2 linked regions of the Notamacropus eugenii genome follow. The protein of the gene in region 2 interacts with the protein of the main gene of each other region in a pairwise test. Links are inferred from orthologs where the notes say so. Each region holds a gene or a part of one and is shown on either strand. Other genes may lie near its edges.

Region 1 (16,210 bases), on a different chromosome or scaffold from region 2:
ACACCTTGACTCCAGATCCATCGAGTCCCCTAGCTGCCTCCGGCATATACCTGGGACACAGGATACCTGTTGGGGACCAGAGGGAGAGAAAACTGGTGATGCAGTGACCACATTCTGTCACTTCAAGAATTGGATGTGTTAGGGTCCTTTTCATCCTTACTGTCCTTTGGTGGCTCTGCCCTCGGGGTACCTTCATGCTTCCTGTGCTGTCTCCTAACCCAGGGACTCCCCAGTACAGAAGATGGGATTGTGTGGCGCCTGGGAGGTAGCTGCCCCAACCCTTCAGAGACACAGCTTCTTGTGGGACTCCATGTACTCTGTACAAAGAAAGCTCACAGCTGCTTGCATTTGAGGCCCTTTATAAATCTTCAAGAAGTGTTTTCTGGTAGGAGATAGAGATACAAAATAGATTTAGTGTAGGTCCTGCTCTTAAGGAGTTTTAAGTTTCATTGAATGTCGGGCAGAGTCAGCAATCTTAAGTGGCTACTATTTTCCAGGAGGTATAAAAAAGGCAAAAAAATGAACAAAAACGTCTCTGCCTTCAGGGAGTTCATAGTGTAATGGGATTGGGGGTGGAGGAAGGGCACACCAGCAGCAACATGTCAACACTATGTACAGGCAAGTTATGTATAGGAAAAATTGGAGATCCTCAACAGAGGGAACCACTAGCACTGAAGGGGATCAGGAAGGGCTTCTTGTAGAAAATGAGAATCTTGAAGTCAGGGAAGCCAAGAGGCAGAGATGAGGGAGGAAAGAATTCCAGGCATGGAGTGGAGGTAATTAATAGTAAAAGAGATGATGCCAGAATCGATATTTTATGCTTTATTCCATAGACAATGCAGAGCCGCTGATGAAGGCTTTTGAAATAGGAATGTCATGATGAGGCTGCAGTGTGAATGATGGTTTGGAGAGGCAGTGACTAGTGGTGAAAAGAACAGGTATTGGTGTAGTCTAGGTGAGAAGAGATATGTACAAACTTTGTGACATCAGTATGTCATCTTAGTGTCTGCTGTTCGCAGTGCCCCTGGGAATCTGAGGCTTAGTCACTGAAATAGTCTTTATTTGGTGATGGGGTTTACGAAGACCAGACCAAGACCTGTAGTCCCTGCTGCTTTGGAGAGGCTTGAGGTTGGGGGGGTTGGAGCTACAGTAGGGCTTAAGCTGAGCAGGTGTCTGAGCTCAGTCCTTCACTGCCATGGTGAACTCCTGGAAGGGGAAGACCACCAGGTTTTCTAAGGAGGAGTGAAGAGGCCTGAGTCAGAAAAATGGTGTAGGTTAAAGCTTCTCTACCTATCTGCATTGAGACTGGGGGTAGCCATTGCATTTCCAGGCCTGGTAAGGTAGAGAAAGCTAGCCCTAATAAATAAATTTTTAGAAATAAATTATATACAAAGAAAGTAAAAATCTTACTTAGAAGTCCCGTTTTCATAGACTTCAGGTTTAGTTGGGCAGTTATTCAAGAAATGTCCCCAGAGTAGCTTGGTTTGGGCTGCACCTGGCCCCATAAGACATAGCAGAACATTTGAGGCTTAGCCCATTAACTAGAAAGAAAAAGGATAAAGGAAACCTGGCATCTTAACTTCTCCAAAAGTAGGCTTTTTCTTTTTTTAACTCTAAGCTTCCTTTTACAGGTATTTTGACTCCTCTGTTTGAACAGTGGGATTTGAGTGATAATGCTAGGTGTGATGTAAGGAGAGGAAATCTTCTGCAAAGGCAGTACAAGAAGAATTTATTTATTCGACCCATTAAGGAGCTGTTCTTTGGAAGTGAATTTCCCATGTTACTAAAGAGCACCCCTTTTGAATGTTCAGAATTTTTTTGAACATTTGAACTATTGGCTTGGAAATTTTTCTAAATTAAGCGATATAGCACTGTGCATGGAGGGCTTCACCCAGAGTCAAAAAGAGCTGGACTCATCTCTCTTTTCACATCCAGCTTGGGATTATTGGCAGAGCACTTAACCTGAGCCTCAATTTTTCATCTGCAAAATCATGATAACAGTTACCTCACAGGGTTATTCGTTATAGGGCTCAAACCTATATAAAGTGCTTTGCAAACTTTAGAGCTGTGCAAATGTCTTTTTATTAAATTGCCAGTTTGCTGGGGGGGTTTTTTTACTGTTATTTTTTAAATATATTCATTTTATTTATTTTTAATGCTCTACAATCACTACCATAAAACTTAGATTTTTTTTTTCCCTCTACCTACCCCCCACGGCTCCCATCCCTCCCCAAGATGGCATACAATTCTATATAGGATCTACACATATGTTCTTGGTGAATACATTTTCATTATAATCATGCTGTGTAGAAGAACTGAAATAAATGGGAGAAATATCAAACCAAAACATAATACACATACACACACACACAAAATGATCTGCTGCATTCTGCGATTGACTTCCATAGTTCTTTCTCTGAATGTGGAAGGCATTTTGCCTTAGAAGACCATTGGGAATTTTTTTTTTTTAACGTCCTTGCATTGCTATGAAGATCCAAGTCTACCAGAAAAAACTCCCGCACACTGTGGTCGCTGCTGTGCCCAAAGTTCTGCTGGTTCTGCTCCTTTCGCTCAGCATCAGATCATATAAGTCTTTCCAGACCTCTCTGAAGTCTTCCTGTTCATCATTTCTTATAGCACAATAGTACTCCATTACATTCACATACCATAATTTATTCAGCCATTTCCCAATTGATGGACATCCCCTTGATTTCCAGTTTTTGGCCGCTCATTTGCTGTTTTCTTAAACAGATATCTTTGACAGTGCCTTGCTCAATATTTTAATCATTTTCTTTTTTTTTTATTACTAGGTCGTTGTTAAATATGTCACTGTCTGCGCCTGTAACTTTATCTGTGCATGGATTTCCTCTCCACTCCCAACTTCAACCCATTTGAATTGGCAACTTACAGTCTTAGTTGGTGGAGCCACTGACAGGTTCCAGGTGTTTGGGGCTATAGAGTTCAGTCATCCTCTCAGGTGCTATTGGGTCCTATAATGTGACCTAACTACTGTACTCCTTGAGAGTGCAAGTCATTTTATTGTAATCTGCCTTGCTTCCTTCCACTTTCAGACTTGCAGCTGTCACATCTTGCTTTTCTCAGCATCTGCCGGTAGCAGTCCTTCACATCCCTTTTATCTGTAGTTTGATCCACTGTAGGTCGGGAGATATGTAACCAAAATTGTTAGAAAGACCTTGTGAGACCTGACTGTGAGGAAAGTGCCACAATCTGTGTATGGAGTTAACAGCATTCATTTTTGTTGTTCAGGTTTTTTGTGTCATCCTTGTTTTGAGTGAGATATACCATGGTATAATACATTCCAAAGCAAACAGGAAGGACTTTTGGAATGTTTGTGGATCAGACTTATCCATTTGTTAAGATAATTGAGATTTGTCTGTACTTTCTTGGTTTTAGAGAGCGTGGGGCTTTTTGGTTGTGATATTCAGATCCATTAAAGTTAGGGATGGGGAAGAGGAGGAAGGGGAGCAGATGAGAAGGGGGGAGCAAACCGACTGCCTGCAGGATGAACACAGGCAATCTGATGGAATGGTATCCCACATCCCAATGTTCAGTTGAGATGTAAAGTAGGATTTGATGACTAGAGATAAGATATGGTCATCTTCAAGCCCACTCAGCTTAGTTTCTTCATAAAATGACAGATGTTCATGTGAACCCCCTTTGTTGTGGGGGCTTCTCAAGTGTTAATGCTGCACCCCCTGCTTACCCTAGATTAGTCTACAGAGTGGGGAAAGAGAAAAAAAATCATGTCATCTTCCACCCACCTAAAAAGCCAGAAAACTTCTAATCATTTCTGAGCTGGGATCCAAAGCAAATCCATTCAACATCTATGCTGTGCAGGGGAAATGGGGGGAAGCAGGGAAGAGGGAATAGGTAAGTAAAATACAAGGCATTATTTTACTTTATTAATAGAAATAGGGAACAATGGGGACAGCTGAGACAAATGCTCTAGGAGTATTTGAGAAGAGGGAAATACTATTAATTGAAAAGACATCAAGAGCCTCGGAATGATGAGAGCTTGACAGATGAGAGAATGAGAAAGTGCTAATCGGGCACTTGTAGGAACCAAGGGTGGGGGATGGCCTTTGGGAGGCCTAATAGTAATCACTGAGTAAAATAAGATTAGCAGCTGAAATGTCAGGCTAATATTTAATTACATATGTGTACGTAATTTAATAGCTAATATTTTATACTACACATTTAAGAGTACCTAGACTCCAGTGCTGCATGAGAATTTTCTGTAGAAACTGATTAAGGATTTAATGGACTTTTTCTCTTGCAGAATTTATCGAGCAACAACATGCCAAAAATAAGACCTATTACTATCATCGACAATACCGCCGAGTACCAGACATAACCGAGTGCAAGCAGGGGGATGTTGCGTGCATATTTGAAGCAGAAATGCAGTGGAAGAGAGACTAGTACGTATGCCACTTATTGTTTCTACAGTACCCCAGAATCACCCTTTACACCTTCATTATATTGTCCTAATCAGTCACAGCATGCTGCTTATAAAGATACCCTACAAATATGTAATTGGCCCTTTGCTCAGTAGGTTTCACTATCCTACCCTGGACAAGGTATATAGTTTGGGGAGGTGGATGAGTGAATGTTCCTTAGCTGCATGAGCCAAGAAAAGTAAGTCACCCATTTCTCCTTTTCTTTCAGCAAAGTTGATCAAGAAATTGTTAATATTGTTCAGGAAAGACTGAAGGCCTGTCAGCAGAGAGAAGGAGACAGCTATAAACAGAACTGTATGAAAGAACTCCAACAGTTCCATGAGGTTGCAAAAGCTTATCAGGATCGATGTGAGTGATGGGGTCCATATATATACACAAGCTACTCTTTGCCTCAGTGGTCTGTGGGTGGAAGTTAGCCAGCAGGAATGTGATTTGATGATACATCAAGTATGATGATTCACTGTTAGGAATCATAAGACTGGGTAGGTTTTAAGCCCTGGGTTTTGCCTGGTGTGGCACAACTTTTTACCTCTAACCTGCTTGACAAATCAAAATCCTGTGGTCCTAAATCCTATAAGCTTTTCTGCCTTCACAGATCATGAACTTGGAGCCAATTCATCTGCTCGGAAATGTCTTGCAAAGCAGAAGCACCGAATGCTTGCTGAGCGGAAAGCTGCCAAGGAAGCTGCAGCCGCCTGACTTAGCAAAATTTGACTGATCTCTATTCCCAATAATAAAAGTCTTTGCAGTTCTATCTGTGTAACGTATTTTTATCAAGCCCAAAAGATTGGCAAATGGGGGTGGGGTGTAAACCACTTCAGTCTGGCCTCCCTCTCCTCCCCAATCAATAATGACCACTACAAGTATCTAGTTCAATTTATGGTTCAATTTATTTGTTTACAAAAAACATCTATGTGGTTGCCACAGCAGCTGCCTGGGTCCTCTGGACAGACACTCGAGTGTGAGTCTTCACAAGATGGTCGGTGAATTCCTGCAATTTCAAAACAAGCTTCATTCACTGTACTTACTCCTGGGTACAACACAACCTCCAGTTTAGGCAAGTTAGTTGTCAAATCCCATAGAAACAGATAGACCACAGCAGGTCAAGCTGTTGTCAAAGGGAATTCTTGTTCTTTCTCCTGTGTACGACAGTCACACCATGCTTGGCCAAGTGCAACTGAGCAGAGCTAAGGAGATGGGGAATTATTTCCCAAATTGTCTCAGTTCTACTTCCCCCCCAAGTTCCCATCATATCATACCTGATAAGGAGACTTAGTGAACACAGTCTCCTTCCACAGGTCTGGGGTTAGATAGCTGTATGTTTTGGAGATGGCATCAAAAGTAGCTTTAGCTGTTGAAAGAAGTTACATGTAATTAACTAGCCACCTAACCCAACTCATTTTAGAAAATAAAAATCTTCCAAAGACTTCACATGCTCAGTGAACGGAACCACCTTCAGTTCACCTTTTCTGCTCTGAATTCACAAAAAGTTCTTTTCCAGTTCTCCAGAGCCATACTGTTTAAGTGCCCTTAGGGCTGTCAAGTCTCATCTCACTTTTGGCTTACCCATTTTGTAATCAATGATAACAATGGCATCAAACAACATTAACCTGACTCCTCACCACCCCTCCCCCCCATTTCCAAATCCCAATCCTACTCATGCACGTGTGCTAACATAGAAGTTTCAGCTTTGTTCACTGCTCAATTCACATGTTATCTACACAAAGTGTCTTGACACCCCCAAATTAGTCCTCCAATTTATGTATACGCCTCCTCTACCACAGAATGCAAGCTCCATTCTTCACTACAAAGAACACTAAAATCTCTCATTGGGTTTTAATAATCTCATCTTTGTTAGTGTAACTAAGGGCAGCTAAATGTTATTTTAAAAACCTAAATTCCTTTGCCAACCAGTGGTAAAGCTATACTGCCAGCATGAGTATTTTAAAAGCTCACTCACCAAAGTTGCCCAGAGTGGCAGTACATCCTCTTGCAGAAGTGTAGCAGTCATCAATTCCAGCCATCATCAGGAGCTTCTTGGGCACAGGAGCTGAGACAATGCCAGTGCCTCTAGGGGCGGGGATCAGGCGCACCAGAACTGATCCACATCGCCCAGTGACCTGAAGACCAAAGAGCAATTCAGTGATAACCCACCTCTCCTGTCATGTGGCAACAGGCTATACAGCCCTTTATTATACTCCTATTTCTTACCTTACAGGGCACCGTGTGAGGCTTGCCAATCTTGTTCCCCCAGTAGCCACGTCTCACAGGAACAATGGACAGCTTGGCCAGAATGATAGCACCACGAATAGCTGTGGCTACTTCCTTGGAGCATTTGACACCCAGACCAACATGGCCGTTGTAGTCACCGATGGCCACAAAAGCCTACAGAGAAACTGCTTTTAGAAGGACCTCTTAAAACTCCCTCCCATATATAAACATTAGCTGGGTGGCCAGATGCCCTGTATTTAGTTGACTATGACTGCTTAGTAAGGAAGAACACCAGGATGGCAGAGAACTTTCCCCCAAATAATTTGGAGATGGGGGTATGAATTTCACTGCAAAATCACAAATATAACAAATTTCAGCCAACTGTGAGGGCCCATAAAATGAAGCGTGGGTTGAATTAACCCAAGAAGACAAATTACCTTGAACCTGGTACGCTGCCCAGCTCTAGTTTGTTTCTGAACAGGCATGATCTTCAGAACCTCATCTTTCAATGAAGATCCCAGGAAGAAATCTATGATCTCAGACTCCTGTGGAAAATAAGATTAGGTTAGATTCCTAGTGGAGACAGTATCTAAGTTTTTATACACAATTCAAGTTTTAAATTGGATAAAGTGATTTACACACTGGCTCCATGAGATCCTTGGGAGTTGAATCCTACCCTCATTTTCAGGTTAAGAGGCTAGACCTCATGTAGATTCAGTGACTCAAATATATATATACGTACTATATGTAAATATGGACACCACCGTATTTTTAAGAAATAAGGTCTCTGAAAAACCAAGATTTCCTAAACAATTAGCGATTGAGGCAAATACACTTTCCCCCTTGTTAAAATGGGAGATGTCATTTATACGGTTAAAGTGAGGATAAGTAAATTGTCAGTCAAGGCAGGGCTAGTCCACTACCCCTTACATCTCCTGGCCACCAGGCTAGCACACCTGTGCTGTGGTTACCTTCCTTCCTTACTACAAGCGGCCTCTCTTGGTGAAAAGTGGTTGGAGGGACTATGAAAAATGTGTATTTGGGGAGGGGCGTTGGGGAGATTCCCTGGTAGAGACCCCCGGAAGGCCACTCCCCACCTCCCCTGTACCTTGATGGGAAGGGAGAACAGGTAGATCTCTTCCAAAGACTTGATCTTCATGTCCTTGACCAGCCGGCCCAGCTTGGTGACAGGCACCCACTAGACACACCAGGAGAGCCGTAGGTTACGGGGGGCGCTGGCCATCCCCCCTCCACCCCCGGCCCGGGGCTGCCCGGCGGCAGCCTAAGAGCTAGGCGCAGGCCCCGCAGCGCAGCAGGGACTCACCTCCTTGTCTTCGGCCTTTCCTCCCCGGGCCCCGCGGCCGCGGCCCCGGCCTCGACCGCGGCCCCGGCCCCGACCTCGGCCCCCGCTGCCGAAGCCACCGCGGAAGCCACCCCGGCCTCCGACTCCGGGGCCCCCGGGGCCCCCCGCACCTCCCGCGGCACCGGCGTCGTCCGCCATTTGCTGTGAGAAGACACCCTGGTCAGCGGAGCTGAGAGCGGGGGCTCGGAGATCCCCTTCCCCCCCACCCCAAGCAGAGGCTCGGGCCAGCATCGAAGGGCGCCCGAGCGCTGCGGACCAACACCCGCCGGCGGGGCCCGGACCAGGAAGGAGGCCCAACGGATGCCGGGCCGAGCCTCCGCGGGGCGCCCCACCGCACCCGACAGGCCCGGCCCCGGCCCGGCCCAAGCTGGGACGCGTCCCCCCAGGGAAGGGCGGCGGCGACCCCCGCGGAGTCCTCCCAGCCCTCTCCCCACCTCTCCTCTCCCCTCCCCCCCAAATACCGCAGCAAGAAAGAGCCACTCACGTGTTCCCTAGAAGTAGAAGGCCGAGTGAGACGCAACGTAACCTTTTATATGGAGCTAGTTCTCGCGATAACTTCTAGACGGAAACTCCGGTTCCTGAATTACTCAGATTAACGGAGAGGCTTCTGTGATTGGTTGAATCCGGCCCCCTCCAACTTTTCTGCCTAGGTGTGGCCTAGCACTCCTGCCGCCACTAAGGCTTCTGACCCGGAAGCAGATCCCTGGGACTCCGGAACCGCGTTGGTTAGCAGCATGGGTATAAATTTAGAGGAAGCGGGCTCTCCTGCTTCTTTCAATCCGAAGGTGTTCCTCCTAGCACGAGTGTGCTGTACCCGGGAGGGCCGTGGGGGAGCCGCGGCCCACGTGGCTCGTCTCCGGTAAGGAATACCCCGGCCAGGCGGGGAAGGGGGAGCTGAAGGCAGCTAGCTTCAGGGCTCCTGCCATCTCGCGCCCGGGCCTCCGCGGTGCGCTCGTCTGTCGGGAAGGGGGTTAAGCCGGCGTCGTCTGAAAATCACCCGCAGCCTGCTCCCATGGCCACGGGTGAGACCACGGCGCCCACAGCCACCGGGGGTCTTTAAGCTTATCCCCCATAGACTGAGTGTGGGGGATAAAACCCAGGCCCCGACAAATGCTGGCGCGTGATGGGGGGGGGTCGGGCGTGGGAGCAGCGGGACCTCTCCACTAACCCTCCTCTCCTCCTCAGGCCCAGCTCTTGGAACGGCCACCTCGGGGTCCCGGTACGAGCACGGAAAGCCCCTCTGTGGGGAGGCGCAGGGAGCCGGCCCGCAGCGAAGTGGACCGCCGCTGACACCGACCCCCTGCTGTCCCGTCCCCCGCCCCCCGCCCCCACCACGATCCACATACTGGAGAAGCGGAGTGAGGGGGTAGGGAAAGAGAGGTAGCTAAGATGGCAATGAGCCCCAAGTATCCAGTTCATGACAGATCTGGGGGGGCAGGGGTCAGACGAAAAGGAAGTGGATCCTGCTCTGTGGGCTCCACATACTCTGCAGGAGTCAGGAAGACCTGAGTTCAGATCCAACACTGGGCAGGTAACTTCGCCTCTGTGTCCTTAGGAGGCAGTTAGGGACTTGCTGGGTGTGGAGTCAGGAAGACCTGAGTTTAAATTTAACCTCAGATACTCAAAAGCTCTGTGCCCTTGGCAGACTTCCTTAATCCACTGGAGAAGAAAATGATGAACCACTCCAGTGTCTTTGCCAAGAAAATCCCTTGGACAGTATGGGTCCAGCAGGTGACAGGGTCACGCAACCGAACACAGATAGAAATGGGCTGGGAAGAGCACACGCTACTGGGTTCATCAGGAATCTAAGAAGTGGTGGGCAGTAACAACATTCCAAATGGAATGTTTTGTTTGGCCAGAATATGAAAGTGGGAATAAGCCAGGAGAGATAGAGTGGAAGTGAATTGTGAATTACTGAAAAGCCACACAGAAATCTTGTTTATTCTGGAGACACTAGGAAATTACTGAAGCTTCTTGAACTCAGGGAAGTGATGTGATATCTGTGTTTTGAGTAATATCAACTTGATACTTGTGTGTAAGGAAGAATTGAAGGGAGGCAGGGACATAATTTGGGCTTCTGAGTGAGAGTACCGAGAAGGGGATGGATGTGGAACAAGGTCAGATATGGATGTATGAACCAGAGGGTAATGGGAAAGTTAAGGCTATTTGGAGGAAATAATTCTTACTTGGCTATTTTAAGTTGAAGGTGCACATAGGGTATCCAGAGCTAATTAGATAACCAAAAATGAGTGTAGAGAAATTTGGTATAGAAACCCAGGATACTTGTACAGAAAGTCTGGCTTTCTTTGAGACTGGAGGAAAACGGAGAGGGGATGTATAATGGATTAAAGAGCTCACCTCAATCACTCCTATATGATTTCTAAAGTTCCGTTTTGCAGTAAATGTTTCCTTGAAATCCATGCGGGCAGGGATCAATCCTTTGGACGGTTTAGAGTACATCCCCAGTATAGTACAACTGTTTGTTTAATGGATAAATAAGGGGCCAGCCATTTGGATTGAGTTACATGGAAGGTGAACACTATAATTTTGTTTTTGTTTTTTTTGTTGTATTTTTTTTACCTAGGAGACTAATAAAGCTCAATTAACCAAGTGTCATTTTGTGTGTGTGGTATATGCAATTTGAAAAGCTTCCATCTCACTGGCTCTGGGTTCTTGTTATGATTGCTGCCATCTTAAGAGTAATTTGTAAGTGACAACCTTTTACATTTCCCCATTAGCAAAATGAGTTATTTCTCATGGCTCTCAGGAAACAAAAAGACACTTCATAAGTGCAAGTCTGACTGTCATGCCCCTATTCAATGAACTTCAGTAGTTCTCTATTGCCTCCCAGTTCAAATATATGATCCTCTACCTTATGTAGTCCTTCATAACCTGGCCACCTCCTGCCTTTCCATCTTAGACCTTATTTACCACCATGGACTACTGAAATCTTACTAACTATGCTCTTTTTTCTTTGTAGCTCTTAGACTTAGCAGTGTCTGGTACATAATAAGTGCTTAAATGCATGGAGGTTCCAGGCTCCTTTGGATCCTGAGTACAAATTGTAATTATCCCTTTATAGCCTGGCAGTGGGGATGGGGGAGGCCTAGAATTTTTAAAAATAGATTCCTAATGGGAAGGTTCCAAACACTGGAAATCTCCAGCAAAGGTCATTGATCCAAAACTTATTTTTACCAATGCCCAGAAAGGGGGAAGAACTCTGCAAAAAATCATAGGAAATTAGCAGATAGTTCTAGAACTCATTGTGTGCTTGTCATCCCCTGGCAGAATAACAGTCATTCATTTAGCAATTAACTTGGCTGTTCAGTGCTCCTAGACTTGGAGTTCAACAGCTTGTCATAAGTCTGCAGTGGGAAAAAGTCCTGAATTTCCAGGGCCTCAATTTCTCAGTAAAATTAAGGACTACATTGTCTCTTGGAAGAAACCTGAGTTCAGTTTTTTCATCAGTGAAAAAGGTTAAAAACCATCACGGTCCTCCGCCAAAGAGTATGAGAATCAAATGAAAGTATATACAGTGGAGAAGCAACTGATAACAGACCATGACTGCAGTCTGATCCTGTCCCCATTGTGGCCTTCTGGTACCTAGGGAGAAAAGACAGGAACACCCCTGACTGGGTCCTGATCAGCCTTTCTGGCCGGGCTCTGCCCCTAGGACTAGGCTGTGATTGGTTGATGGTAGACAATGAGACTGTGATGTCAACCTGAACTAGAGGTGTGAAATGGGGTCTGAGCCTGGCTTGGCTCAGTAGTGCGGCTGCCCAAGACCACGAGCATGGTGAGTTCATGCCTTCTCCTCCACTTCTGTTCTCTGTGAAGGGGTGACACACATATTTTTCAGTGTACATTACACCATAGTAAGGGCAAAAGAAGGGAGAATTGTTGCCTGGGGGCCTGTTCCTTTGGCTCCAGAGACCCTAAGTAGCACCTTCCTTAGGGGAGGTCACTAGAAGCTTAAACAGAGTGGTAGTGGGGGTCTATAAGCCCTGTTCAACCCATTAAAAGTCTCCCCAGATTCTTGTCTGCCTTAATTTGTCTCACCTTTCCCCAAAAAGACATCTGGGCTCTAGGCCTGGCTCAGTCTCAGGCAGCAAAGTGACCTCTGGTAAGTTATTTCTCCCTCCGAACTGGTTTCATTCTCTTTATTATGTTAATGTATATCCTTTGGGCTGTAGAAAAAGAAAAAGCATGATAATACTATAGTGCTGAGAATAAATGGGATGTACACTTAGGCAGCTAGATGGAGTTAGGGAGACCTGAGTTCAAAGGTAGCCTCAGACATTTGCTAACTGTGCGACTCTGGGCAAGTCATTTAACCCTGCTTGCCTCAATTTCCTCGTCTGTAAAATGAGCTGGAGAAGGAAATGGTAAACCACTCCAGAAAACCCCGAATGGGGTCACCAAGAGTCGGACACAACTGAACAATACTCCTTAGGAAGCCTGAATCTGGTGTTAAGAGAAACTTTACTAATTCAGTTGATGATCACTGCTAGTCTGTGTTTGAATGAATGGAGTGTATGAATGATCTGGCCCGAGGGTACAGGCTTCCAGAAACTCCAGATTGGCAATGTGACCATGACCTCAGCACTCAGTTCTGGAGCATGTGATTTGGGCTTATCCAGGCCCCCGTGGTGTGCTGGATGACTAAAGAACAGGTGGGGGGGTGGGGGTTGACCAGAAATCGAACACTCGTTCCAGTTTGTCCCATTTTCCTTCTTAGTAAACAATTGGTTATATGGCCAGAGTGCCTGTTTTTTAGTGAAGTTACTTAGCATGCCTTCAAAGATTATAGAGCACTCAAGGGCTGAGTTCCTTCTGGAAAAGGAGGGAGGACTCTTGTATTGACATCAGACAACCAGCCTCTTGCTGATGCCCCAGTGGGCAGGTTGGGGAGGGGAAGAGAAGCCAGGTGGGAGAGAGGATCCCATCTTCTCCTGGTCACTAATCCTATGTCTCTGTTCTGTTCTTTCTTGGGTTGAACTTACAGAGTGGTGGATATGATCTCAACCTCTTTGCCAGCCCCCCAGACTGTGCCTTGCTATGTTCTGTCTGCCACGGGGTCCTCAAGCGACCAGTGAAACTGCCATGTGGGCATATCTTCTGCAAGAAATGCATCTTAACCTGGCTGGCTAGGTAGGATATGCAATCTCGCTCCCAACTCAGTGGGAATGAGTGTAGGCATTTTTACCTGTGTCAGTATAGGTGAAAATAAGGCAAGGACATGATTAAAGATAAACTCCACTTTAAGAAAATCCATTATACAAAAAATCCTTTTTAGGAAGGTCCCAGACAATGACTACCTCTTCTCCCCGCCCCAGCCATTCCCAACTCATTTCCTTCACCCTCCTCTTCCCTTTCCTTCCAGTAGTGAGGAGATATTTGAGACCATTGCTCCCTCAATGAATTCTGCTAGCTAATAAGCTAACACATTACAAAGGGTCATGGGAACATTTGTCCAGAATACTCTGTAGTGGGTGGGTATGGATTATTTCCTAAGGAACATGCCTGGTAAGCTGGTCTGTTGACTCTCTATCTCTTCCCCAGACAAAAGACATGTCCTTGCTGTAGGAAAGAAGTGAAGAGGAAACTGATGGTCCAGGTGCACAGACTCAGAAAAACCATTGGCCGCCTGCAAGTCAAGGTATGGCAGTACCCATCAAACAAAGCAGGAAGCAACTTCACTTTTCAAGAGGTTGGGAAGGGGAAGAACCAATGTAACTGTTGATGTCAGTCCCTTGATCATCCACACTGGGAAAGGACTGAGGGCATAGATCATTCAAAACCACTACTTTCCATCCAGTATTTGGAGGCAGATTGGTTTGGTCCAGGAGAGGATATTATCAATAAGAAGTGGCTGAACTTAAATTTAAGCTTCCCAGAGCTACTTACTGATCTTTTCCATCTTTTGTCTCTTGTTTTTCTTCTTTCTTGTCACTCTGTTTCCCTCTTCTATTTTCCTCTCTCCCCTGTCCTCTCTATTTCTCTCCCCTGCCCCCATCTCTACCTTTCTCTTCTCTGTCTTTCTTTGTGTCCCCTTACTCTGTCTCTGTGTCTGTGCAGTGCAAGAATTCCCAGGCTGGCTGCTGTGTCACCTGTCCCCTATCTCAGCGTAGGATCCACCTGGATTCCTGTCCTTTTGAGCTCACCCCTTGCCCTAATGCAGGCTGCATGGCTAGGGTGCAGCGGGCAGCCTTAGCAGAACATGGCCGGAGTTGTGGACACAGGCAACAGCAGCGCTGTCCCCTCGGCTGTGGGACCACACTCACAGCTGTTGAAAGGGAGAGCCACAACTGCTACCGTGAGCTCCGAGAGGCATGGGGCCGCCGGAGAGCACAAGGCCGGGCCATAGTCTCTCGCCTTCAACATCGAATGAGGCGGATCCACCGGGCCACCAGCCTCATCCGAAGGCAGCTGACCCGGCTGGAGACCTTCCTGGAAGAGGAGGAAGAGGAGGAAAGCATGGATGTATCCAACATCAACACCGAGACACCTAGGGCTGCTGTGTAACGCCTGCCCAGCTGGATGGTCAGGACTCCTGCCCAGATCCCCTCCCTTGGGGTTGACCTTCTCCAGGGAAAACTGGGGAAGACCAGGCTACTATGACTGTAAATAGAGAAGGATGAATAAAGGTGAAGCCCAAGGGGTCCCAAGCCTTGTTCCTCAGCCTTGCGATGCGCCCTACACACACACAGGGTATCCCAAGTTACATTTCCCTCCAAGGACTCCCATCTCCTCTGAGAAAACTACTTCATCCCCATATCTTGCAGCCTTGAGCAGTACCCCTCTTCCCCAGGAAACTGTCTATGCTGCCCAGAGGATACCCCAACAATATTATCTATAGCTGTCATTTACTCTCCCATTTAAGTTTTACAAAGTGTTTTGCTTCATTCTCACTCAGCCTTGTTAAGTAGATGACATCATCCTCCTCATTTTACAGATGAAAAAAACAAGTTCAGAAAGATTAATTTGCCCTTGATCACATAGTTATTAAGTGTTAAAGCTGAGGTTTGAACCTAGGTCTTATAGTTCAGTAGCCCTGAAACAGCTTTTCCTTCTTCCACTGCCCAGTCTACACTGCTGAGAGAGTCCTCTGTGGTCTAAAAATTGTCCTTGAAGCTCCAACACTACTCTGAGGCACTACCCTGTCTACACACTGTGCCCCCCCCCCCCCCCCAAACTCTTCTGGAGCATGTGTCTCTTTGAGATAATCCCCAAACTCCATATATTACTAGGACCTCCATGGCCCAGTCTCCACTGCAGCCTATTTCTGTTGCCATGAGATCCCCCTTCTCTACAAGGGCTCCTCCCCATGTAGATTGCCCTAAAATAAGGACCCTAAGAGCAGACTAGCTGGACAGTGCAGATAACCTCCAAATTTAGAGATTAACAGAAGAGTATAGTAAGAAACGTCAGGGGCAGGGGTGTGTGAGAGATTCTAGTATGACATGACAGTAATTGAATTAATGAAGTAGAACCAGGGTCTACACTGGATATGAAGGAAGAAGATCTGACCTGTCAAACAATATTTGAAGTATTGTTAATGGCATGTTTTAGAGCTGAGCTGGGAGAGAATGGGCACCACCCCTCCACGCCCACCCCCAGGAGCATGGTTGGGGTTTGGAGGAATATTAAGAGCTGGGGTCTGATAGAGTCTAAGAAGGAAGACATTAATAAGCTGGAACACATTCTGGAAAGGGTGACTCATAACGCTGGGCGAAACCATAAAGCCAGGGGTTAGCCTTTTTTTTCCATGGATCCCTTTGGCAGTCTGGTGAAGTCTATAATCTCAACGTCATGGTCTTCTTCAAAAATGAAGGACAAACGCTGATTGTGAGCAGGCACAGCTACCTGAGTGGGAACCCAGCTCATTTTCTCCCTTCTATCTGTCTGACCCTCCTTTGGGGATTTGGAGTTTACTAGCTAGATTTCCCTTCCTTCCTTCCTTCCTTCTTTTCCTTCTCGTTCCCAAAACCTTAAAGCCAGTACACTCTGAAGCCCATGGGCTGGACAACAATGATTATCACTAGCAACAGTTTCTGTTGATTTAGTTATTTTTCTTTTGTTCATTAAAAGGGTCATTCCCTGACTACTTCTTAAAGAGGCCTATTCACTCAAGGTGCTACCTCCCTCTGAGTACCTG
Region 2 (16,596 bases):
TTTTAATACGTACCAGTGCAACATTCAGGTTCAGCATCTGTTATTTCTTACTCTAAATATTCTTATTAGTATCTTTTGTCACTTGCAAGTCATCACTGCTGGAATTGTAATTCTTCTGAAAGTGTGGTATGCCACTATTTGATTTAAATCTTTATCCTTTCTTCTCGTTTGGTTCTAGTTTTGACCTTTGTTCCGACCAGTTCGTTTTATCTGTTGGTACAGTCAGCTGAGTTTGGAAGGACTCACATCTATAACCAATTTGTTTCATTGTTATCAAAATATAATTAATTTTGTTTTGGGGGCTCACTCTATTCACTGCCTCCTTGAAGAAAGTTTGTTAAATGTGATATAAGGATTCTCATTCTTCTAAAAGCTTAAGGGAACTTGTATTTCTTTATCTCAAGCCACATTTTCCTTCCCAGGCTGAAAATACCGCAGATTTAGTTGAATTCACCTTTCTTCCCCAATTGTGTGGAAGTCAACAAGTAACAAGGTAAATGTTCAATTATTTTGCAGGCTCTTCAATACAATAAAAATTAATAGCGTACTATGTGCTATGCACTTGAAACACAAAAGACCAAAACAAAATAGCCCTGATCTCTAGAAATTTACTTTATGGAGAGGATAAGGTCAAGTGCTAAACAGAATTCTCAATTTATTCAGTCTCTGAATGAATTAAAAAAACCCTTTACTAAAAAACACCATTTAACCATGTGCCAGGTATTGGGGACAGAGACTAGAAAAAGTTCCTGATCTCAAGGACCTAACACTACAAACAGGAAAGCCAACATATGCAGCAGAGGAGTTCATCTTCAGAGTGGACAGAAATCCCAAAGGCCCCAAGGGTACAGGGTGGATGGCAAGGCCCAAGAGTTTGCAGGACACATCAAAGTGTCTACCAGAAAGGAGAGGCCTGCCACCTTTGGACAGTGAATCTAAGGAACAGAATAGAGAAAAGAAACTGGGTTTCCTCCACTAGAAGAAGAATTAAGGACAGAGGGAATCAGTGCCAACCAGGAGGCTGTGTTCACTGTGAGGAGGAAAAAACAAAATGACCAAGCAACCCATCAAAGGATGGTTCTTACTGTTGCCTTTGAGTGTAATATCATACAAACCAACTCTGCTAACTTTTTAATTTGTTAATTAATATAAATTGTTAATTAATTTTTTTCTAAATTTAGGATGACTTTGACCTTTCCTTCCATCTAGCTGCAACTTTGTTCTGACATCTCTGCTTCAATAATAGTGATGTCAATAGGGATGAAATTCAGTTCCTACTGTAATCAATTCGTGGTTGTTGGACAAAGATCATTCATTCATTTACAATAAAAGCAGTTGAATTAATGTTTACAAACAATCTTAGGAACCATGCCATGCTTAAGTACCTCTCTATCCCTTCTCCTGTCATGCCACTATCACTGGAAAAGGAGTCAGCATCAGAGAGGAACTTTTTGCTGCTTTTTTTCTTTCATGGGTTACTGTTGCCAAAAATTCTCCAGCTTTCTAGTGATTAACATCTCCACATTTAGCCTGATTTCCCAGACAAAAGAAATAATCTATAGCTGGAATAATATCTGAAGTCTTTCCAGTTTGCTGGAACCTGCCAAGACTTGCTTTTCACTTGCATAGGCTTCAAGAACACAGGGTCACCTCCAAAGCATGAGATATAAAAGTAGGACTTTTGCAAAAGAAGAACTGTAAATTACTTCAAATCAAAATTAGTCCTTAGAATCACAAAGTTCAAGAGCCGGAATTTTGGAGATCATCCAATCCTGAGTTAAGATAAGACACAATTTTAGTTGCACCTTGCCTACCAGCAGCACAACCTGGACAAGAATCCAGGTCTCCTGAGTCATGCTCCAGGATTCTTACCACTCACTACATCATACTACCAGGTCTGGCTTTTATTTGGCACTAATATAAACATTTGTCTTTTTACTACCAAAGTTCATTTGTCTTTAAGATGACAATAATTTCTATTTCATAAGATTGTTTGTTACAAAATGTCTTGGACACATAAAGCCTTTTTTCTTTCTCTCTGATAAAAATGATAAAGAATATTTTCTACTTGGAATTCTTCCCTTCTCCTCAAAGTGCAAACTGCACTTTTAAAGGCTCTGAGCTGGCACAAAATGCTTTTAGAGAAAAAAAGTATAAAGCACAATTTATTAATCTGGCACATTCCCACAGGATTTTAAAGCTTCCAAAATGATCTTGTAGTGTTCCAAACCTACTTGGCATTCCAAACGTACATGGCATCGTGAAGTCCAAAGTTCTTTACTATGTGACTTGCAAAACTGAAGGACACAAAAACTAGGACTTTGCTTAAAGTAAACTATATTGAATAGCATTACTGAGAACAACTGATTAAATGTCTCATATGTGCTAGTACGTGTGCATCAATTATTTAGTTTGAATGAAATTCTTCACCAAGTAAGGATTTGTAGAACTCATCAGACCTAAGGAAATATAGCTGTGAATCTGAGCATGACATAGTAGAAAGTGCACAGGACTGGGAGTCTAAGGACATGTTTGATACTGGCTCTTCAACATTCTGTGTGACCTTGGGAAATCAGTTAACTTCTATGAGGTGCTTGATGAGATAACTTTGAAGGTCACTTTAAGTTCTAAGTCCTGTTATCCTAATGAGTAACAAGACAGCAACATTCACAGAGAGTAGCAGCACAAGGAAAACAAAAAGTACCAGACTGGGAGCTAAGAGACTGAATTTTGAGCAGCCCTGGCATTTACTAGTCATGTGAACTTGGACAAGTCACAGAATTGCAGAATCTTATGGATGGAAGGTATTCCTCCCCATAGCATCACTACCACAGCAGGGCAAGGAGGGGATATACACTATCAAAAGAATCATTTTATTTTGCCTACAGATAATAATATATACATATATATGTAAGATGTACACATACACATATGTGTGCGTATCCATATCCTTAAAGGGGGCACAGGAGTAAATGGAGCGCTGGGCCTAGAGTTGGAAGACCTGAGTTCAAACCCTTAAGACACCTACTTAGCTGTGTGACATTAGGCAAATCACTTAAATCTTCATTTGCTTCAGTTTCCTCACATGTAAAATTGGGATAAAAACAGCACCTACCTCACAGGGTTGCAATGAGAATCAAATGAGACATTTATAAAGTTCTTAGCATAGAGCTTCTCATGTAGGAGGCATGAAATATATGCTTATTCCCTTCTCCTTCCCCCTCTCTCATCTCCCACCCTTAAGTCTTTCAGCTTAATGACTGGATTTTTCTGGAAAATTCCAATTTCTGATGTGATCAGGCTTCTTTTCTCATTCAAATCATAGCTAGGGTCACACCTTTTTTTTTCTCCAGGAGGAATTTTCTCAAAATTTGTAACTGCCATAATTCCCAGCAAATGAGGGCTCCTCATACCTAGAACAGGACTCCCCCTCCAATGTCCACCTGAAGGCCTCCAGAGATGGAGAGGTCTTACCTTCAGAGACAGGCCCTCTCACCTTGGACAGCTCTTCACATACCAACCTAAACCCTTCCTCTGTGTAACTTCTACCCATTGCTCTTAGCTCTGCTCTGAGACCAAGTAAAATAAAAGTCTGATCTCTTTTCTACACTTAAAGTTTGAAAATATGTCTTTTCAAGTCTTCTCTTCTCTTAGCTAAACATAACTAGTTCTTTCAAATGATACTTCTAGGGTAGTTTCAAGTAACTTCATCTTTCTAAATGTCCTAGTTTCAACACAATCCATTCTGTCAACATCATTCTTAAAAATGAGGCAACCAGAACTGAACAAAATACTACAAATGTGCTAACTAGGAATTCATGTTATGGAACTACACATTTCCTAATCAATATCTGTACATCTTAATTTCTGAACCCTAGTACAGAACTTTATGTTAACCCAATTAAATTTCACCTGATTTGATTCAAACCTTCATTCCAGCCAGCCAAAAACTTTCAAAATCTCAATTTTATCACTCATCTTCAGATTTGATATACATACTCTTTAGAGGTTCATCCAAGCCACTGGCTTAGACTTCTTTGAACCTGTTTCCCCATCTGTGAAATGGAGGATCTGATTACTGAGGTATACGAACTTCAGAAAACTCTTTAGAGGAAAGTGTAACACATGATACAAAGGCGCCCTCTTGCACAAAGAGCATAAATGAGAATACTGAAGCAACAAAAGATGTCGCAGTCAACTCTCAATTAAAATACTACTAATTACTATCTCTCAATTTGAACTTCAGAACTCAAATATAACATTTTTATAAGCAGTTAGGGCTGGTTTTAAAGATTATCTATCAAACCTCTCCATTTAAGTGTAGGAAACTGAAGCCCCAAAAGGCAACTAGAAGGTTCCTCCTTCTGAGGTCATCTGGTTCATTCCCTCATTTACAGTTAAGCAAACAGCCTTGGAGATATGAAGTGACTGGCCCAAAATATTTATATAGAGAGAAAACATTTATTAAGCACAAAGTCACAACTTATAAATGACAGAGCTAATACTGGAAGCAAGGTGCTCTCCAAATCTAGGAGTCTTTCCACTACACCATGTTGCCTCCCTTGAGATAAGCTAGGTGACTTGAGGTCACACAATTCCGTCCCCTAAGACTGATGCAGATCACAGAAAGACCTCTCAGTAGATACTAGGGCTAGCATTTAGATAGAAGGGTAATATATTAGAGCTGGAAGGGAACTCAAGTCTCTTCCCTCTTTGGCCAAACCTCTACTCAGCTATCAAAATGATTGTCCTATCTGCCATGCAATAAATTGCAATGGCTCCAGGTTAAATCTAAAATCCTTTCTCCAAAGCCCTTCATAACCTGACCCTGCTACAGGACCTGATCTCCTTACCCCTGTCTATTGCTAAGGCCAGCTGGTTAGTCTTCCTGCCACAAGTCTCTCTCCACTTGGGTCTATCCTCTCCTCAGCTTTCAATTCCTTCTAAAGTACCGGTCTAACCTTGTAACCTCCCCTCCATAACCCTATTATATTAGCAAATATAAAATCCTTTGGGGTTCAAAGCCCTTCAGAACCTAGAGTCCCTGATTTTTCCTGTCTTCTTACACCTTACCCCAAGCCCTGGGAGATCTAGTGACTCTACTTTCCTTGATGTTTCTCCCCTGTAACATTGTATCTTTCAGCTCCTGGAGATTTCCCAGGCTGTCTCCCAGTCCCGGGGCTCTCCCCCTCCTCATCTCTGCCTCTTGGCTTCCTTTCAAGTCTCAGCTTAAGCCCCACTTTCTGCAAGAAGCCCCCTAACTTTCGTTCCTTCTTCCCTTCCTCGGAGTATCCCCAGGATAAATGAGTAGATTGTTATTTACAGATTGTCTTCCTCATTGGACTGGGAGCTCCAGGAGAGCAGGAGTCGTCTTTTGCCTTTCTTTGTATTCCCAGCTCTCTAGCACATAGTAGGTGCGTACTAAAAATGCTTGATGTTTTGACTTGAACTTGGGGGACTCGAGGTGGAAAGGACCAGAGGTCAAGCACGTGTGTAGTCCAATCCCCTCGTTGAGTTAAGAGGCTTACCCCGGGTCACACCCTAGTGTCTGACGTAGGATTCGAACCCAGGTCTCTAAGTCTGCCAAGCCTCTTCACATACAGCCTTTTACAGGTGAGGAAACTGAGGCTGGGCCTCGCGCCGGCGCCCTTCCCGGGGGCCAGCCAACGAACCTGTCACAGAACAGACAGGGGGTCTGCTGCCTCTCGCGGCGGGGGTCTGCCTCCTCGTCCTCGTCCTCGTCCTCCTCCCAGGCCGCCTCGTCTCCGCTGTCCGACAAGGCTGGCGGCTCCTCCTCAGCCGCCTCCAGACGGCGCCCGGCGCCTGAACAAGCACAAGACAAGCTGAGGCCTCGGCCCAAGCCCGGCCGCCGTGCCCGGCAGGCCTGGGCCGCCGCAGGCCCCCGTTGCTAAGAGGAAGGGGATACCCACCGGTGACGCCCGTTGCTAGGGAGCACATGGCGGCCGCCTGCACGCGGGGAGGGGAGCGATTCCCGAGGGGGAAGACGGCGGGGCGCGGGGCTGGAGCGTGGGGTCCACGGGGCGAGGGCCTGGGGGCAGCCGGCACGCACTCACGCACGCACACACGCACGCACGCGGTCTGGAGTGAGGGGGCTCTGGGGCGAGAGAGAAGGGCCGGAAGGAGGTGGGGGAAGGGAAGGACGGTCTGCGCGCGCGCGATCTGGCGCACCCTCTTCCGTCTCCGCGAGCAGGGAAGGGGTGTCACGTGGTGGGGACTCTTCTTCCTTCCCCCTCCTTTGATCCCCCCGCCCCCGCGTGTCCTTTGCAAAGAGGGCGTGGCTAGAGCTCTCTCTTTGCTGCGGCCGCTCTTGGTGGTCCCTGGCTTAGCAGAGGAAGGCCCAGGGTTCAAATCCCGTTTCCTAAGCTTAGTCTCTGTGACCTTGGAAAGGTGACTCAGCCTTCCGGGGCGTAAAAGGATGAACTAAATGGCCTCTGAGATCCTCTCTGCAGCTTCCCTGCCCCGTTCCCTCCAGCCCTTGGAGGAAAGGAAACCAAGAAACGCTTCCCTGCTACATTGTTTCCCTCTACATCCCCCCCTCCCCCAGGTGCTGCAGCGCCGCAACCAGGCTGAGAGCCCTTAGATGGAGGAGGGGGAGGAGGATCTGCAACGGGCCAGGGCACCGAGGATGTCCTCTTAAATTTAAAACAAACAATCCTGCCCACATGCACTGCAGACAGCCTATGCAGATGCCGCATTCCCCGAGCCTCTATCATGGAGGCAAGCCAGGCTAATTTCAAAGCTGGAATGTCATCGCCCTCCTATCCGTATCTAAAATCAGAGCTATTTGCAGAGTGATGAAAAAGCATCCTGGTGGTTACTTTTAGTCTGAGCTCTATCTCTTTATTTCCCTTTATGACCTTATTTAAGTCACAATTAGGGGCCAGTTTCCTTATCTATAAAACAAGGGAACTGGATTAAATGAACTAAAAGGTCCCTTTCAGTTTTAAAATACCAGGTCACACTAATATCCCCTTTCTTAGTATACCTATAGCACCACCCCCTAAACTACCCAATCGCTATACTTGGCTGCTAGGCTATACAGCTTCGCAGTCCTATTAGCGCACTGAATCGTCCTTAATAACCATTTTTTTTTAAGTTCTATTAATTTTAACTATTAATTTTCATAATATGGAAATGAGAAGCATCGGTGGCTTCATGGCATAGAGAGCTGCCCTCAGAGTCAGGAAGACCTGGATTTTCACCCCATCTTTGCCCCATACTAGCTATTAGACCAGTTAATTGACCTTTCCGGTCCTCTTGGTAACTCTAGACTATAAATTGTAAAGTAGGTTCTGTACTGCAATAGTTCAGATAATTCCCTATAGGGATGAAATCATAGAAATGGAAAAAGAACCCCACTTTATAAGGTTAGAGGATGGTGATATTTGGATTCTCTGGGTCCAAGTATAGGAACTGTTTCAACTGAAAGTTACCGTGACTTTCACTGTGCAAATATCTTTTTTCTGAAGTATATAGACACTAGTCAAGGAGTTACAACTGGTTACTCATTTACTCAGTCCACAATCATCTACTCATCACACTGTCCCAGGTACTGAAACTCAGTCTGGTTTCCTGACACTCACAAGCCCCAGTTCAACTGGATGGCTTGTTAAACTCCTGGAAAGTAGGAACAATACTTTACATTTCTTCATATCTTTCTGTGCTTCCCATGTACTATCTTGTACATACTAGTCACTTAAATATTAATTGAATTCATTCATTTAACCAATACTTATTAAGTAATTATAATGTACAAAGCCTTGCATGAGGCATTGGAAAATAATACAAAACTTAGATGAGATCTTGTCCTGACTGCAACAAAAGCTTAGTATCAGTAGAATGTGGGCTGTCCCAAAAGTTAATGTGATCTTAAGCTACATAAATTGCATTATGTAGCTTAATACATAAGCTACATAATGGTATATTTATGTATACCATAACTCTAGATAATAATACATTATCTAGAGTTCCCACCTCTAACATACTAGCTGCATGACCATTGAGCAAAGCGCTTAATCTCTGTGCCCCCTAAATCTATACATTGAAAAATAGTTACCATGCTGGTGGGAGCATTTTCCTTACCAGGAGTTACATATGTCAAAGAAATAACAGGATTGATTTGTTTAGTTGTTTTTGACACCATTTGGGTTTTTCTTGGGAGGGCTACTGGAGTGGTTTGCCATTTCCTTCTCCAGTTCATCTTACAGATGAGAAAACTGAGGCAAACAGGGTTAAGTGACTTGCCCAGTGTCACACTGCCCTTAAGTGTCTGAGGTTGGGTTTGAACTCAGGTCCTCTTAACTCCAGGCCCTCCATCTATTCACTGTGCCACCTAGCTGCCCTGAAATCACAGATACAGACAAAATAAAAATCTATTTGCACTGTTACTTAGGCTGTCTTCAGTAGTAGGCACATTTTAGAAGGTATACTGATAAACTAGAGCATGTAAAAAAAAAAGTCAAGATTGTGTAAAGGCTTGAAACTATGATATATGAGAATCAATTGAAAAGCTAGATGTGGATAGTCTGGCACAGAAAACAAGTTGGGGCTATAAGAGGGGCTATAGGAGGAAAATGATAGCTCTCTCCAAATACTTGAAAAGTTGTTTGTGTTATGAAATGGAAATTGAACATTCAAGTTATGGAAGGGAGAACTGAAAAAGGTAGGAATTAGATTACAATAAATCATCTGAAGTCCTCCCCCAGTTCCACTTCCAAGATTCTCCACCCTGTCCCAGCTCCCTTCTTGCCCTGGATGATCCTTCTGCTCCTGCAATCCCTCCTCCCACTGGTGAATTCCTCCTGGAACCTCTATTTTGAGGCAATGCTCCAACCAGCAGTTCATCACTCTTCTCCTGGCTCTGCTCCTTCCAGGCTTCATCACCTTGCCCCAGTGTGGGTACCTTCTCCTCTGCCCATTTCCACTCCCTTTTAGGTGTTGTCTCCTTTCATGGAAGGAGAGTGAGATTTACATCTTTGCCAAGCTCTGCCTGACTTAAATCCAATTTACTGGAAAGTCTAGACATCACCCTCATGTCATTGGTCTTCTCCCATGAAAGGATGAGCAATGTCATCTTTCTTTAGAATATTAGCTACCTGAGGGCTTGTGTTCATATTCCCTGTGCTTAGCATAGTTCTTGGCACATAGTAAGGCTTGCTGACTTAGGAGTAGACAGCCACCACTGGTGTTCAAGCAGAGGCTGGATATTAGAGTGGGGAATCATCGCTGGTTAGGGGGTTGGGTGTGATCATCTTTAAGGCCCCTTCCCTTCTAAATTCAGAGAACTGCAGAGATTCCCTAAACATCTCTTGGTTCAACTCTGCAGTGATCTGAGTCCAGCCATATGAACAACGAGAGACCTCAACTTCAGTTGTCAGTAATCTGAATGAGATGCCTTACTAACCATTAAAAGGAGTTCCTGTAAATTCCAGTGGATAGTGAAGTCAATAAGCATGTATTAAACACCTACTATGTGCCAGATGCTGTGCACAACCCTCTTGCATTAATGTAACAATAGGAAGCCCCCAGGTAGTAACTTTGGGGTCTTCTTCTAGTCCTAGTACCTACAGCTAAAGAACCGCCTAGTTCAGGGAATGCATGAACTTACTTTATAGCTATTTTGATTATTATATTCCAAAATAACTTATTTCCCTTATATTCCTCTGTATTTTATTTAACAAATTTTAAAATATTATTCTGAGATTGGATTTATAGGCTTCACTCGGTCTTCCAAAGGGGTCCAGGACAGAAGAAAAAAGGTTAACAAGAGTTATATGTAACCTTTGTTGCTTTTCTGCTTAATTCAAGAACCACAATATCATTCGAGATATTCCCTTTTTATTGTGTATTTTAAATAATCAGTAAAGGCACAGGACTTATTTAAGCCACCATGTACATACAGTATGCCACAACCTCTGTAATCTGAACCAATTGGATCACTGTAACCATGCTTCCATTCATGGAGAAAAAAAGTCCCCAAACGAATCTTTTTTTAAAAACAATTTTATAACTTAAGAAGGAGTGCTTTGCATACGACAAGTAGAATTGACAATGTATTAGGAAAATGGACCAGAATTAACATGTAATAGAAGTACTGGGGTTCTAATGGATTGAGGAAAAGACCACACAAAGTTTTGACTAGATCACTGACTCTCAAATGCAGAACCCCAAAGGACCGCAGGGTTATTACAAGGCTAAAGGAATTAATATGCAAAGCTATAAATAAACCAGCCTTCCATAGATCAAATGTTTCACACACATATAAATGGCTATTAAAAAAACTATATAGATGCTGTTATTAATAAAAATATTAAATCATTTAAAAGAATCTAGAGTAGATTTTTTTGATTACATATTTTCTCAATAGCTGATACTGTAACATGTGAGTCAGATCCATAATTTTGACATTTAAATAAGTTAGGTAACACCAGCTGCCTCCAAAAAGGGTGCAGTGGATAGCATGCCAGCATTACAGTTAGGAGGACTTGAGTTCAAATTCGACCACAGACACTTGGCACTTGCTAGCTGTGTGACCCTGGGCAAGTCACTTAAACCCAACTGCGTCAAAAATAAAGGTTAGGAATTACTAAATAAATTAACTTTTTCAGACAAATAATATAGCTAATATGTATCGAATGTTTTCAGATTTGCAAAGAGCTTTACATACATTACTTCATTTGAGCTTTACAACAACCCTGTTAGGTAGGTGCTATTATTTATTTATAATAATCATTTACAGATGAAGACTCTAGGGCTGAGAAATATTGAAGTGATTTGCCCAAGGTGACATAGCTGATGTCTGGAGCAGGATTTGGACTAAGTTTTCTGGACTTCAAATGCAGTATTCTATCAACTGTTCCACCAAGGGGCCTCAAATTATTATGTTATATGTAAACTATATAGTTCTATATTCCTATTATCTTGACAATGTCAACATGACAATCAAAGGCAATCAGGAAGAAATGGCATTTTTTTTCCTAATGGGATCATGGCTTGTTAAGGTCTTCTGCTTCCCCAAGGTTATGGATGGCCTGGTTGTCCAGCAACTCCCTCTTCTTGTCACTTGGCATTATTAGGTTATTAACCATTGCTCTGACAACAGTTGTAACGGGTACCGAATGATCTTTAGCCCAAGAGGTTGGGAGTGAACTAAAGAATTTTCTGATCAACCATTCACCTGGGCGGGATTCTTTTCTGTTACATAAAAGGACTCTAAAATGTACAAGGAGAAAAACAAATATCTTATGATAAAATACATAATTAGAAAGAATTTGGATACAAGATTTCATCTGATACTTAAGGAAAAAAATTAAGGAGACAATTAATAATGCCCAGCAAGTATTTCCTAGCTACTCTAAAAAGATACTTATCCCACTTTCTCCCAAAAGCAAAGGCAGGGATGTCACCAGGACAAGCTAATACCACCTTGCCCAAAAGTAGAAAGGAAAGAGTAGTTCTTTTTAACCCTGCTCTCCTTAAATCAGGGGTTTTTAACTTGGGGTTTATGAATTCTTTAAAAAGTACACAGTGATAACTGCATATCAATGTAATTGGTTTCCTTTGTAATCCTATGTATTTTACTTTATGCATTTAAAAACATTATTCAAAGGAATCCATAAAGTCTATGGTAAATATCTAGAAAGTCCTAAAGGCTATATGGTAAGTCTAAAGTCCATAGACTTTATCAGTGCAAGGACACACAAACAAACACACACACACACACACACACACACACACGACCACTGCACACATACATACACACACACACACACACACACACACACACACACACAACCACTGCTGTAGAGTGCTGACAGAATAAACTGTCTTGGCCATCTTGAGTTGTCCATTTCTGGACTAGACAGACAGACCAGAATAAAAGCCAGAGGGACAAGCACTGAAAAATATAATCTTTGGAGTCAAGTGGAATGTCCAAGACCAAAGTTCTTGACACTGTCACAATGATCCTTTCCTATCCCTGGTTTTATCTAAGTCTTGAAGATGTTCCTTAGTTCCTCATTATTTAGTACAAGAAAATATGACATCCCCAAAATGTATGATTATCTTCTGCTTTTGACTAAAAATTAAAAATCTGAGCTAGTATCAGCTTCCCCTAAAGCCGAATTTAGTCCTGAAGGCAAGAAAGTATATGCAGCACTAAAATACTTACGCAGGCCTAAAAATTGTGTACCGATCAAAGTTAAGTTCTTCAACTTTGGCTTCTACTTCACCCTAAAAAAATAAATCAGTATTTAATTAAAATCAACTCATCGCTCCCTGCTCTACTCCGACAAATTCAAGATAAGAATGACTTCACCTTCTGCAGAGTAGCCAGTCCCCAAAAGTCTGAGTTGTACCTATGATTCATTTCCTTCAATATTCCAAGAATTCATGATTATAGCCGTGGGCACATCATCCACCAACACAGTGCCTTAGTGGGTGACTTGAGAAATTTATCACCTACTGTTGATGAGTCTCTCCTCACTTAGCCAAGTTAGTTCTTAGAAGAGAAGTATTGTCTATGGCAAAGATGACTCAAATCCAGTCATTTTTAAGTTTAGACTCAAAGTCAACCTGGCATATCAGATGGACAGGTTCTACCAGATCTTTGACCCCACCAGTATTGCATACAAGAACTCAGGGTCTCCTCCATGTCATGACAAAGCACTGGTATAAATAGGTCTTTTATCAGATTTGTGAATATATAAAAATAAGAAAATTTTAAATCTGGAGAAGCCCATCTCATTCAAATCCCTGATGGTAAAATGGAAGCTCAAAGAGATGAACTGACCTACTAAAAGTTCATTTCTAGAGAACTGTACAAGGTTTTTCTTTGAGGGCCTTTCTCAATCCTGAGATTCTCTGATAAACTTCTGATCAATCAATAAACATTCATCAAGCGCCTGCTATGTTCCAGGCATTGTGTGAAGCACTTATAATCTAATGGGGGAGACACGTAAACAAATACATATGAAGTAATCTATATTCAGTATAAATAGGAAATAATTAACTGAGGGAAGGCATTGGAATTAAGATACATTGGGGTAGGCTTCCTGTAGAAAGTGGGGTTTTAGTTGGGACTTAAAAGAAGCCACAGAGGTCAGTAGTTGAAGGCTAACACTACACTGAGGAAATGTGATGCAGTGGACAAAATGCTGACTTCAAAGTCAAGATCTGGGTTCAAGTTCTACCTCTGACAACCTGTGGGCCATATATGACCTTAGGGAAGCGTGCCCCTTGGGTGTAAGACTAAGTCACGGAGAAATTTCTGATTTTCATTGAGAGAAAAAGTGCTTGGAAGAGAGCTCCCTGCATTGAGGCAATCGCAGACTGTGTGAAACAAGAACATTGTGTGATAATAAAAATAAATGTCTCTCTGCTCTCAGACTAATATTCCAGACCAGTGGCTTTCATAGGGTTTCAGGCCATGAAGCACTTCGGTAGGTCTACTCCTCCACCCACATACCCATCGTACCAGAGGGAAGTTATCCTTCTGCCCATCTTACAGAACAAGAAACTTTGGCCCAGAGATGTTAATCTGGTAAGCAGCTTGCCCAGGGTTAACACAGCTAGTCATGACTTCATCTGCTTCTTTATTTGCTCCAATGTACCATCTTTTAAGGAGATTACCCTTAAGGTTTTTGTCTCCCTGGGCATCAGCAGACACAGGTCTTAACCCTGGTTCTATCATCTGACTCGCTATATAACCTTGAATCAAGCCATTCACCTTGACAAACCTCAACCTCCCCATCCATAAAATAAAGGTGAGAGCCTAGATGATCATTAAAGTCCTTTTGAGAGTTGGATTTTATAAACCTATAAACCTTCAGTTTTCTATGTTAGGCAAAGTAATTTACAAGATTCTTCAGGAAAAAATTTTTCAATCAAAATGATCTAGCAGAAAAGATGCTGCTTCAGGCACCATTGATTATAGTGGCTTTCATTTCAAGACAAAAAATTCTATGAATGTTTAAATCTAAGAACAGTACCAAGAAAGCAACACTACATAAACTTAAGAAAATACAGAATTGCTTTCATCTTAATGCATTTAGTTCTGAATGGTTTTTTTTCTTTTCCTCCCTAAATTACCCATTGCATTGTTTTATGTCAACAATACAAAAAAAAAACTGTTTGCTTCTTGGAATTCATATCTGTAAATTATTTTTATTGCATAGTTTTCCTTTTGAGAATGCACTCAGCTTTGGAGTTAAAATTTTATCTTAAACTTTTATATTGACAATAGGACAGATGTCAATTTAAAAACGATACCATGCAGTTCTTCCAGGGTGAAGGGCCATGGTTCCTGAATGTTTTGTTGTTCAGTTGTGTCCAACTCTACATGACCCACTGGACTGTGTCCATGGGATTTTCTTGGCAAAGATACTGGAGTGGTTTGCCATTTCCTTCTCCAGGGTGTCCCACTTTTACAGATAAGGAAATGGGGCAAACAAGGATAAGTGACTTTGCCCAGGATCACACAACTAGTAAGTGTCTGAGACTGGATTTGAACTCATATCTTCCTGACTTCAGACCCGGGGCTCTATTCACTAAGTCACCTAGCTGCCCCTTCCTAAATGCTTAATGGGAGCCCTAATAGTGCTGGGCTGAGTGGAAATCTTTAGTAATAACCTATGGGGTCAGATGATATTTTACTGACCTTAACTGCATTTAAGTTCAATAAGTCAATTACATACATACAGGATGAGGAAGACAGGAGCAGTTCATTTGAAAATAAAAGGTCTTAATTGATCCCAAGCTTACCATATGCCAATGGTGTGATGAAATTACTAGAAAAGTTAATGCAATCTTAAATTGCTGATTTTGATAGATGCGAATTCTCAATGAGTAATCAAAATAAACACTAGAGGTCAGTATGGAGAGATATTTTCTAATGTAAGGTAACCCTAAAATTATTTTCAAAGCTAAAAACAACCCTTTCCCCAGTAAAATATTTTTCATAAGTATAAAAATTTAAGGTCATCATTATTCACACTGACCAGATGTACTCGTCAAGTCATCATTTAGAATGGCCAAGTCTCTTTAACAGTTTCTAAAAACAGAAGCCTATACAAACCTTAATTTGTAAATATAAAAAACTGCTCGACTTATCAGCGCCTTTAGATGAAAGTAAGTTGAAATGTTTGCAGCCTCCAGCTTTTGCCAGCTCTGCAGACTTCAACACATAATCCCGGTCAACACGGACAAATCCATCCTGCGGGAAGAATAAAAGATGTGAGGGTGATTTCCAAGTGGCTGTGAGTTAGGATCGTGTCTCTTGGTTCATCTTAAAGATTAGTCTTTGTTTCTGGCTTGCACCCAAGCTCCATCCAAAGGCAGTGCTGAAATTCAAAAGAAGAAAGAATCCAAGTTCGGACAGCAAGACAGAGTGCCAACTTGAGTAGAAAGGAGAAAAAGAACAGCTGCAAGGGAAAAACCAAAGCAAGATAAGAGAGAAAAACACAAGAGGCCAGGAAAAGTAACTGAAGGTTAGAAAACTTTCTATTTCTTCAGTCTCAATCATTTTTTTCCTAACATCTCCATCCATCTTGTGTTTTGTTGACCTCTCTAAGCTCACTCTGTGTGTTAAATGATAAGTTCTTTACAATCTCCTTATACCTTATACTCCTGTCCCCAAACTAGGGACACAATTCTCTTTGCTGTTCCCACAAAGAGCACTCCATCTCCTGGCTCAAAGCAATGTTAAAAGGTTGTCCCCCATACCTGGAGTGCTCTCTCTACTCATCTCTGCTCCTAGAAAGTTCCACTTTCTACAAGATACCTTTCCTAGTCCTTAATGTCACTGCCTTCCCTCAGAGATCATCTCCAATTTACCCTGAAAATATATCTTATTTGTACATAACTACATATTTTTTCCTTGTTTAGACTTTGAACTCCATGAGAACGGCGACTACGTGGGGGTGGGGGTGGGGTTGTGTGTGGGGGTGTGTGTGTGTGTGTGTGTGTGTGTGTGTGTGTTTGCCCTTTTCTTTATATCCCTAGTGCTTAGAATGGTACCTAGCACATACTAAGCACTTAATAAATGTTTAATAAATTTGACTGACCTGATAAACCAAAACTAAATTCTAAAATAATACCACCATGTGCTAGCGAGATCACACATAGAATGCTTTGTTCAATTATGGACACTATATTTTAAAGAAGAACATTAACAAAGAGAACTTGCCTAGAGGCAGGAAACTAAAATGAGGAGGGTTCTACAAACCATAGCTGGTGGGAAACAGTTGAAAGAACCGGGGAAATGTAGCTCAGACAGAAGATTTAGGAATGTCATTTAGGAATGACAGCTATCTGGAAGCCTCTGACATGATCTAGAAGCAAAGTAACCAGAATATATGATCTCAATATACCACCACTGTAGGAACCATCAGAAGAAAAAAAAATCTGAAGCAGACTGAGAAAACAAGCTAGTCAAACTCAAATGGGGAAGGAAGATCAAAGAATCATAGATTTAGGACTAGAAGGATCTTAGAATCATCTAGTCCAATCCTCTCAGTCTCAAGTAGTAATAAATAAAATAACCTGTCGATCAATCTAATACAACTTTATTACCAGAAT

What was found.
Region 1: the proteins of PRMT3 (region 2) and RPS2 interact in binary tests that used the Homo sapiens proteins (3 or more experiments, as listed by UniProt). The link is inferred for Notamacropus eugenii from reciprocal best matches to the Homo sapiens genes PRMT3 and RPS2.

Annotation. Positions count from the first base shown.
Region 1 is NC_092872.1:48,374,531-48,390,740, reverse strand, and holds RPS2 (small ribosomal subunit protein uS5), read right to left. Parts: upstream 8,552-16,210; 5' UTR 8,537-8,551; intron 8,194-8,536; 5' UTR 8,191-8,193; coding exon 8,014-8,190; intron 7,888-8,013; coding exon 7,798-7,887; intron 7,235-7,797; coding exon 7,127-7,234; intron 6,864-7,126; coding exon 6,690-6,863; intron 6,599-6,689; coding exon 6,439-6,598; intron 5,830-6,438; coding exon 5,738-5,829; intron 5,676-5,737; exon of another isoform or gene 5,543-5,675; intron 5,470-5,542; coding exon 5,389-5,469; 3' UTR 5,350-5,388; downstream 1-5,349. Other genes in the region: NDUFB10 (NADH dehydrogenase [ubiquinone] 1 beta subcomplex subunit 10), read left to right, coding at 4,301-4,439, 4,687-4,826, 5,074-5,177; RNF151 (RING finger protein 151), read left to right, coding at 11,846-11,848, 13,058-13,203, 13,615-13,711, 14,131-14,577.
Region 2 is NC_092877.1:29,738,243-29,754,838, forward strand, and holds the start of PRMT3 (protein arginine N-methyltransferase 3), read right to left. Parts: upstream 6,202-16,596; 5' UTR 5,959-6,201; coding exon 5,931-5,958; intron 5,824-5,930; coding exon 5,673-5,823; intron 5,552-5,672; exon of another isoform or gene 5,529-5,551; intron 1-5,528. Other genes in the region: oxidoreductase HTATIP2, read right to left, coding at 11,007-11,232, 12,191-12,252, 15,095-15,232. UniProt on the Homo sapiens protein: Protein-arginine N-methyltransferase that catalyzes both the monomethylation and asymmetric dimethylation of the guanidino nitrogens of arginine residues in target proteins, and therefore falls into the group of type I methyltransferases.